2 linked regions of the Drosophila melanogaster genome follow. The protein of the gene in region 1 interacts with the protein of each later gene in a pairwise test. Each region holds a gene or a part of one and is shown on either strand. Other genes may lie near its edges.

Region 1 (4,366 bases):
GGGTCATTCGATATAGCCATTGTTGTTTGGGGCTTTATAACTGAACAACAATTGGAGGCCGAGTTCAACAGACAGCGGGTGTGCTAGGTCATTTGGTTTTGGGGGAAGTAGGAAAGTTGTTTTCACAGACACCTCAACACAATGGGGGCTTATCATCTAGAGTTAAAACACCTTCGATGAGGAGCGTTCGAACTTTATTCAAATTTCACTTGCTTACAATTCACGCAAAGGTTTGTTGCTCCCCGCCCATCTAGTAGATGTACTCATAGGTCAGGGGCTTGTAGTCGCTGCGATATTGCTGCTGGAAGGAGTTCGGGGTCTCCACGCTGTGGTAAAGATGCGATTCGGCGGCTGCCGGGGCAATCAAACGGGAATAGGCCAAGGGCAGGACAGCCGAGGACCTGGCAAAGGTACTGGGGTAGTACCCATAGCTGGGGGTATAGTAATACACCTCGTGCCCCAAAGCCAGAGCAAGCAAACAGGCAAAGATCAGCTGTTAGATCAATTAAATTGGTTAAATATATATATGCAAAGTTATATAGAAGAGTTTTCCGATCTCACCAGCTTCATTTTCGCTCGTTGCAGTTCCTTGAAGATCACCTATCCAACTGAATAGCCATTCCACGCTACTCCAGGCTTTTATAGCTGCTCCCAATCGCATTCAGACCTTCACTTTGGCTGGTGGCCAAGGTCAAAGGCATTTGCCCAGCAAGCGGCAAATGAAAGAAGCCCTTAACTCACTTTGAATGGGCCAGTTGCAATTGCAATTGCCAGCGGAACTCGTTCCCTGCCACTCAGAATCCAGATGTGAATCGGATGGTCGTGAGTCCGCTGACAAGCCAGTGAAACCACAAATGCCTCTTGGGTTCTAGAACGGCAGAGAAGTCCTCCTTCCAACTTGCTACAAAGATTTGCCTTTCCCCGTAAAATGCATGATAATTAGGATAGAATGTGCTAGAAAACAAATACACACATTTTATAATTGACTTGTTGCATTCGGATCGATTTCTATGTTATATATTCGTAATTATTGATTTGTGTGCTATTCTAGCAATTAATTTTAGAAACCTTAACCTATAAACTCATCCTAATTTTATTTTTATTTATCCTCAATCAATTAGGGACATCCCCTTTTAGTGTGTAAGTACGTTCTATTTTCGCTGAGGCTCAAATGTAGGCATCTCTTTGACGTCTGTTTACTTCCATCGATTTGGATTGCGTCTTGCTCTTGGCCCCAAAATAAACAATTAAGTGCGTCCTGGATTGAGACGCACTTCCGGTGTTTTCCCGCCTTCCATCGGGAGGCTTTCAAGGTCAGTGGTGGGTTGCGGGTGGTGTCGAGAAATGGCCATGTTTCCTTTTGTCTTCGTAGCAATGAAAACAAACTCCCACGCCGAAATCAATTAAGTAAGTATATTGTTCGAACTGTGTTATTCGGCTAAATATTTGTTGATTTGTTATTTGCCTAAAAAATTGCGCAGTTTCCGCAAATTTATTTTTTTCGTTGATCTTTTGCGGTGCGTATTTCATGGCATCACCATTGCATTAGTGATGCAATTTTCGGTGGGTGGGCAACTGCAGCCAGTCACTCACCTAAGCTCAGGGAAACCTGAGCATTCCGCGTCCGCTAAGATTTCAAAGAGACTCTTGGGTTTTGAATATCTGACCAAGGTCGCGCGATTGCTGGGGCTTCTTGGCTTTGGCGGCTGGGTTATAAAAACCAGGCATCACATTCAACCAGCCATCAAACCATCTTTTGGCAGCTTCTCAACGAGTTCCACTTTGAGTTTTGCGTTCCAGAAGTTCTTCAGCAATCAAAACCGCTTCAAAATGTTCAAGCTGGTAAGGATATCCTGTCCTGTCCTGTCCTCCGAATGAAAAAAGTTAATTAAGTGAGCAACTCTTCCCGCCTCCAGTTCGTATTCCTCGCCTTCTGTCTGGCTTTGAGCTATGCCGCTCCTGGTTACCTGCACTCCTCGCCCATCCTGACCAGCTCGTACCACAGTCTGCCCTCGGTGCGCGTGATCCAGCCCATTTGGACCACCTCGCACAGCGTTGTGCATCCCATCAGCTACGGAGGATACGGTCATGGCCGTGGATATGGCTGGATCTAGGAGGAGCCATCTCACAAATAGGCGTCCTCAAGACTCGGCCGCCAGAGCACCTGTCGCCCGAAGCTCAACTCAAGTTCACACGGAGTTTAGCCATCTCTTTGACGGACATGCCTCAAATAAAGTTCTGAAATTGGTCTGAAATTTATGTGTCATAATAATTTTTTTTGAGAAGGAGGGGTAGACTCCATTCTATGGGGTATTTAAGCCAACGTTGTTGTCTTTCTTTGGCTTAGTTATCGTTCAGATTCACGATGGACATGATTGCTGTAAGTACACTTACAGACATTCTGGGCACTACAATTTTTTTATGAATTATGAAGTTGTTCTTTTGTTCTTTTGAAACCTTAAGTACTTTTTTTTTTAGAACAATGAATCATGCCCATGTACTCTTTTGAGCTTAAACAAACATATTTCTTAAAAATCGTTAAAAATATAGTTAGTGGGCAAATAGTTCAAATACTTGACTTAAAATGCTTAAAACATACTGAAAGTGGGATTATTTTACAGTTGATTTCGATTTGGTTCGTTTTGATGAACGTGGCTTGGTTTCAACCGATATATTTCCTCATGCCAACTCAAGTAGCCCGCAGCTTTAACTTGGCAGAGGATTCATTTTACCAGGAACCAGAACGGATTGAAGGGATTCAGTTCATCGAAGACCCCGCCAAGCTATTCAAGCCCAATGATTTTTTTCGAGAAGTAAACAAATTTATTATCGGAGTTCAAGAATTCGTGCAGAATCCATCGTCTTCCCTGTACAGTGCATTCAACCAACTGCAGAGCAATGCCAAAAAGAACCACCAGAAAAACCAGAAGCCCGTGGTGGTTCTTGACCCCTTTGGTAACATTACATTCACCCTGGGCTGGTCAGCCAACCTGGGAGTGTTCAATAGCATCAGTTTCAGCAAGAGTCGGAGTCTGGTTAACTACAATGGCTGGACTAAGGGTTAACAATCCGCTGGGCTAAATCAATGGCCAGATGATAACATACTTCTGGGCTGGGCCATGGCAATATAATTCGAATTAAAATTATTTTTATATAACACACAATAAATGCAAACTCTTTGTTCGAATTGGTTTGGATCTGTTTTTGATTTGCCGCAGATTACGTATACGCCACGATGTCTAATTTTAAACGCCGCACGTTGCATTGTCTAAGCTTAGTGTGTTTTACCCGGAATGAAATTGCTGCACGCCGCTCGACATGTGTGTACCCCAAGGATAATTATCTGTAATTATTAATAGTTTGCCCCTGGTCATGGCAAACCCAACACTTTTTGTCCACTTGGAAATTAGTTGTAAATGGTAATGCAGATAGTCGTTTCACTGCTTATGAGGCGATTCCAAGAAGCTGTTTGTGAACATTTAATTAGAGTAGAGTATCAGTTGGTTGAAAATGTATCGTGGAAATAGTTTACTGAGTTGCTTATACATTTACTGAGTTAATAATACAAATACTTGTATTTGATACCATATTGCTTATTATGCATTATTGGATATGACTTCTCTTCAAGTATAGTATAATATGCATAGTAAACTATATATAAATGGAATTTCGAAGTTCCTCTTCAGCTCCCAGTAAACCCCATTTTCCGAGTAAAAGACAAATATGTTCGTTTGTTTGCGAGTTTATTTCAGTTTCATTGCAAGTGTCCGTGTGCTATCCTCTTAAGTTGATCATCCTTCCGGGAATCTACTTCTTCAGGAGCAGAGGAGAGGTGTAGGCGGCATAGGGAGCAGTGTAGGCGGTGGTGTAGGGGGCGGCGTAGGCAGCGGTGTAGGCAGCGGTGTAGGGGGCAGCCACGTAGGGGGATGCCACGTAGGGAGATGCCACATATGGAGACGCCACGTAGGGGGCGGAGTAGGCCAGAGGAGCCACGATTCCGGGCTTGGCGGCCACGCAGGCAAACAGAGCGAAGATGACGGCGGCGACGAACTTGAACATCTTGGTAGGTTTGGTTTTTTGTTTGGTTTTACTTGTCGGATTGAACAAATGCAACTGATGTCTTAAACAGTCCAGACTTGTGGCTTTTATAGCCCCACAGCCGAATGGCTAGCGACCTTGCAAGGTCTCCCGGCCGAAAAACACAATTATGTTGCTCAGGCCAGTCACGTACCATTCGCAGTTGGCTACTGCGAACGGATTTAGGTACGATTGCGGGTACTTTGGCTAATTAAATTGGTGGGCCAAGAAAGCTTAAGTGCCAAGGCTAATTGTGGGTGGTCGTTTGGGTATAAAACGCCGTGTTCAT
Region 2 (5,309 bases), 3.9 Mb from region 1:
GCAGTCCACCTCGCTGCTTGGATAGCAGGAGGATCTCTTGTAGTCGTACGAGTAGCCTGATTGGCACGAGGACTGCACGGGTCCGGTGGACTGGCAGACGTAGTACGTCTGGCAGGATTCGATGCTGCCCAGCTGCGTTCCGACCTTAACCGCCGTGCAGACGGCCGTAACGTTGTAGTTTCCTTCCAGAATCGCATCGCCCAAGGCTTGGCCGCCCATTAGGCACAGGATCGTGGCCAGTAGAAGTTTGCCTGCAAGCCAGAAATCACGCAAATCAATTAGCGAAACTCCTGGTGTTTATTCGACCATAGACCACAGATCATATCCCATGCGAAACACTTGCCTGTCATCGTTAGTTGGTAATACTTTTTGCCGCTGTTGGGGATCGAATACCACTTGTATCGGCCAATGAAAGGTTGTCGAAGACTGATGGTGGAGTTTTCCCATTGCCTGGTTTTTATAGGTCTACGATTCGAACTTGGCCATCGAGATCGTAAATTGAATGTAGATAAGCCCAGCTATTCTCAGGAATTATAGACAGTGAAACATTGTTCCATTTTTTATTTATTCCACCAGATAGACGCTGAACATCTTTTCGGGGTGTTATTTAACCGATTTTAATTAAAGTATAGTTGTATTAACCACTAAGTAGCTCTTTATCTGTCATTATTTCTATCTGTTCCGCAACTTAATAATAAAAAAAAAAAAAAAAAACAAACAACTGACGCAGCCACATCCTTATCAATGGTGTAGGTCTACCTTGGAAAGTAAAACATCGTGTAGTTAAGCCTAGTGTTGTACAATAACTGAAAAGTGGGGTTTTCATTCGATAGTGTTGTAAGATTAATCAAATCAAGGTCTTTTAATCGGGATAATGTTGTGCAATAGAAAACGACCCTTTCTTAAAAATAATATAATATTTTACCCTAATTAATGCTATTCATTTAAATAAGAACTTTTTCTAGCAAATGGTTTAAATTTGTTATATGTATAATGTATGTATATTATGTAACTTTAACAGCTACACCTTAAATTGAATGGACTCTTATCGCTTTTGTATGGCGTTGACGCTGCCCAGTAAAACTTGTTTGGCGATGAAAAACTTTTCGCTCAGGCAATCTTTAATTTCGGCTTTATTGCCCTGCCATATGGGGTCAATAAAGTGTTGATGGTATTTCCTTGGATCTTCTGTACGTCGATGGAAATTTTCCTTTATTCTTGTCGCATTTGGTGACAGTTTTTTGGGCATTTTAGCTCTTTTATTTGCCGATTTCCTATCCGAATTAAGAATATATATCCTTTTTAGAACACTTTACTTCATATACCCTATTACTGTGCGAATAACTTGGGTGGATACTTTTAATTGAGTTGCCAAACTTGATTTGTATTTATTATTTTTGGCATAAATGCTATTTAAATTATTTTTTGTCTGAACTTGTTCCAGTAGAGGTTGTGGATGAAGTTCCAGAGGAAGTCGAGCCGGAGGAAGTCGAGCCCGAGGAAGTCGAGCCAGAGGAAGTCGAGCCCGAGGAAGTCGAGCCAGAGGAAGTCGAGCCGGAGGAAGTTGACCCAGAGGAAGTCGATCCGGAGGAAGTCGAGCCCGAGGAAGTCGAACCAGAGGAAGACGTCGAAGTTCCATCGCTTTGCGTGGGATTGCAGCAGAGGAACTTGGGCTCCAACCCGTTTACGCAGGATCCGAGGTTCTCGTTGAAGTAGTAGTTGGTGGGGCAGCTCTCCACGGCCTTCTGAACGCCGTTCACGCAGTATAGGTAATCAGAGCAATTGGTTGCCGAGTAGGCGTTTACAAAGGTCGCAGTGGTGCCCACACATCTGTCGCAGTCGTTCCTCGCTTCCATCCTGGTCACACACGCCTTCGAGATGGTATCATAGTAGTATCCCGAGGGGCAGGTCATCAGCTGATAGTTGCCGGCGGAGCACAGGTAGTACTGGTTGCACGCGGTGGCTGCGATCGTTGCTCCCGACGAGGAGCATGTGGTCGGAGCAGACACTCCGGTCAGGGATGGATCATTGGTGACCTGGGCGCAGGATGAGGCCATCTTGTAGCCGCAGTTGCTGGCCTGCACATTGAATACTAGACCATCTTCGCAGGATCCCGAGTGCAGAACGTTGTCCTGGCAGAAGTTCCAGCCACTGCAGTCGGAAGGGCTTCCAAAGTAAAAGCCATTCTTGACAAGATTGCATAGGTTGAGGGCGACCGACACAGTGGAGCCATCACCGGCGGACTCGCTGCATGGATAGTTGTTCTTGTACACACAGGCCATTGTGGTGGGATTGAAGTTCTCGCCGGCAGGACAATTGCCCCTCACAGCGCCGGAGGCTCCGCAGTAGTAGTAGCCGCCGCAGGACGAACTGGATGCCGCGAAGGATCCCACCGCCTTGCCCAGACAGGGATCGGAGTTGCTGGTGCAGGTGCTCGGCACAGTGCCCGTGCACTGCTGGGCATTCTTGTCGAAGTAGTAGCCCTGGGGACAGGACATGGCCGTGAACGAGGATCCCTGGCACTGGTAGTAGGTCGAGCAGTCCGACTGGCTGGCCACGTAGTTCCCATTGCTGACCAGCAGGCACAAGGCGGTGACATTCACATCGGCTATTGCTGGAGCGGCACAGGCGATCACCAGCGCCACGGCAGCGAGGATGGTTGCTTTTTGTCCACCTGGAAGCGTTGAATATATTCATATGATGTTCCAATTTTTCCTGTTTCGAACTTTTATATGCGATACCCACCCATTATTTGCTTCTTCTTTTGGTGGCTCCTAGTTGAATACTGTTTCTGGTTGATGGACTTCCTGGGCTTTTATTTGCAGTCCAGCCAGGAGTTATCTTCGATCCGCTGGGCTGTCCAAGTTGATCGACGACCCTTCAGCTCAGGAACCCATTTTGTGATGTATCGCAAGCGAAGCCAACGAACCATTTTTGCATGATCGATGGCCATTTTGACAAGTCAACAAAGTTTTTGTGGGGATAAGAACTTTCCCAGAACTCAGACGGATAGAAATTTGGGTTCTTTTTATTAACTCAAATGTATTTTTTAGACTGCGTTTCTATAATTGGAATATTAAAAAGTTAATGTGTAAATAAAAGAGCAATAAAGAATTACATCGTGCTCTAAACTTATAACAGAGTTCGCATTTTAAAGCTAACGACTTTATAATTGTTATAATTGTTTAACCAAATGTATATACTTGATTAAATTTGAATGAGTTTTTTACCGAATTATATAATTCAAGTAGTACCATATCAAGAAGTTCTCCAAATATGGTCCTTTCTATTTTTTTTTTCAAACAAATCAATTAAACGAAATGAGATTAGAGTAATCTAAATTAGCTTAAAATTACCTACATATTATATGGCAAAACCCACACACTTTGTTTTTAATAATATTGACTAATTGTGGCGATTCCTAGACATATTTGTTACTATCGGAACAGAAAAGTTGGACTTATGTGGTAAAGCCCAATTGACTTTAAAAAAACAAGTAAGCTAGTGTAGTTCCTCGACTTTAAGATACTCAGTACTCATTTGAAGGGAGTTCAAGGACACTAGATTTTTTATATGTGGTTTACTTGTTGTAGCATACCTATACACCAAGTAATTTTCACATCAATCTTCTATATTCTTATACAATAGTATCTTTCCTTTCAACGAACACTCTGTACACTCATTTACTCTACGACTATCAGGTACAATTAAAACCGACGATCGGCAGATTATTTCATAAAGTTAGTTTAATCGTAAATAATTTCACAATAATGTATAATTTTAAACAGTAATCTCAATAAGTATGTATGTCAGTAAGAATCGGTCATCGTGGACTATTAATAGCATAATGTCGTGTGCACCTGAGTCAGCAGATCGCAGGCGATAAACATAATAACATTTGATTTTGAAATAAAGTTAATTACTATATGTGTAATAAATTAAATTAGACCCAATCTAAAGATAGTAATTATAAACAAGCGGATACGAATTCGACAACGAATACTACCAAAAAACCAAAGGTATGACCGCACAAGTTGACAAAAATAAAAACAAATTGGGTTTTAAATGAACTGCGCACCGGCGTTGGCCAAGTTTATCACTTGTCAAATTTGGATTTAACCGAATCTGATAAAAGTGAAATATGAATACGTCATGCGTCCATTTTAGCCACTGAAGACAGTTCTAGACTAACTTAGAGCTTCCAAAATTTACAGACCTTTCGGAAAACCCAAAAGTAGCGAGGGCATAAGCATTGTCTTTCGATTTGTATTTATTGGCGAACTTGGATGGCATCCAGTTAGACGTTCTTTTCCTCGTTAGCCGTTAAGAGGTACTTGTATCTTTGGAATACTAAAAGTTTGCTGAACTCGAGATGGGTGAGTATCTCTGGCACTAGCAGATATCCATCGAAGTAACTATATTGTTGTTTCGAGAAGAATTACCATTTCATAGACAGATATAAATATAGAAAACCGTAGACTTAGGCTCAAGAAGTTCATAACGAAAACTCAAACATTTATTGAAAAAAAAATATGCAATTTAAATCGAAATTGAAAGCATACTTCACTTGCAACTTATTTCGAATATCGTACTTATACCCTTTTATGCAAAACAGACACAAAGCTCGCCTTCATTTCCGGACTCATCATGATCCCCACGATATCAGGCGCCCTGACCTTCAATGCAACTCTAATATGTAGCTTGGTGGTCAACGGAACCAAGATGAACGATCCTCGGGCGTGCAACGCGTGGATTCAGTGCATCGATGGGAGCCCTGTGAGTGGTAGCTGTGCGACTGGACTCTTCTACGACCGGGAGAGCCAGAAATGCCTGAGTTCCAGTAGTATCAAGTGTCTGTCCAGTGATCCGTGCGCTGCTCTGCCCACCGGATTCGCGGCTGATCCGTACTCCTGCAATGGTTATTACTATTGCAAGGATGGCAAGGGGACGCACGGAGTGTGCAACACTGGGATGAATTTCAATTCGGGAACGCAGGACTGCATCCGCGATTTTCCGTGCTCGAATAAAATGGACCCGGATAGCTATTGCAACATCTTGCCGGATGGGGTCTTCGTCAAGGACACGGACAACTGCAATGGCTATCAGTTGTGCTGGGATGGCCAGGTGATCAATGGAACCTGTCCGGGCACCTTCTACTTCAAGGCCTCCACGGCCCAGTGCGATTATCCGCAGAATGTGGAGTGTGACTTCGTCCCAGTGCCAGATATTAGCAAGAAGGGTGTATGTCCAGAGACGGGTGGATTTATATCGGATAACAAGACCTGCAATGGCTACTACTACTGCAAGGA

What was found. Proteins that work in one complex are often made in the same cells at the same time.
Region 2: the proteins of CG13070 (region 1) and CG7290 interact in a two-hybrid assay, tested with the Drosophila melanogaster proteins (one large-scale study listed by BioGRID).

Annotation. Positions count from the first base shown.
Region 1 is NT_037436.4:16,261,007-16,265,372, forward strand, and holds CG13070 (uncharacterized protein), read left to right. Parts: upstream 1-2,336; 5' UTR 2,337-2,365; coding exon 2,366-2,380; intron 2,381-2,621; coding exon 2,622-3,065; 3' UTR 3,066-3,145; downstream 3,146-4,366. Other genes in the region: CG34247 (uncharacterized protein), read right to left, coding at 251-493, 562-570; CG13071 (uncharacterized protein), read left to right, coding at 1,831-1,842, 1,917-2,114; CG13051 (uncharacterized protein), read right to left, coding at 3,808-4,059.
Region 2 is NT_037436.4:20,203,253-20,208,561, forward strand, and holds CG7290 (uncharacterized protein), read right to left. Parts: upstream 2,795-5,309; 5' UTR 2,750-2,794; coding exon 2,746-2,749; intron 2,675-2,745; coding exon 1,419-2,674; 3' UTR 1,057-1,418; downstream 1-1,056. Other genes in the region: CG7298 (uncharacterized protein), read right to left, coding at 1-251, 344-350; CG6996 (uncharacterized protein), read left to right, coding at 4,373-4,376, 4,616-5,309.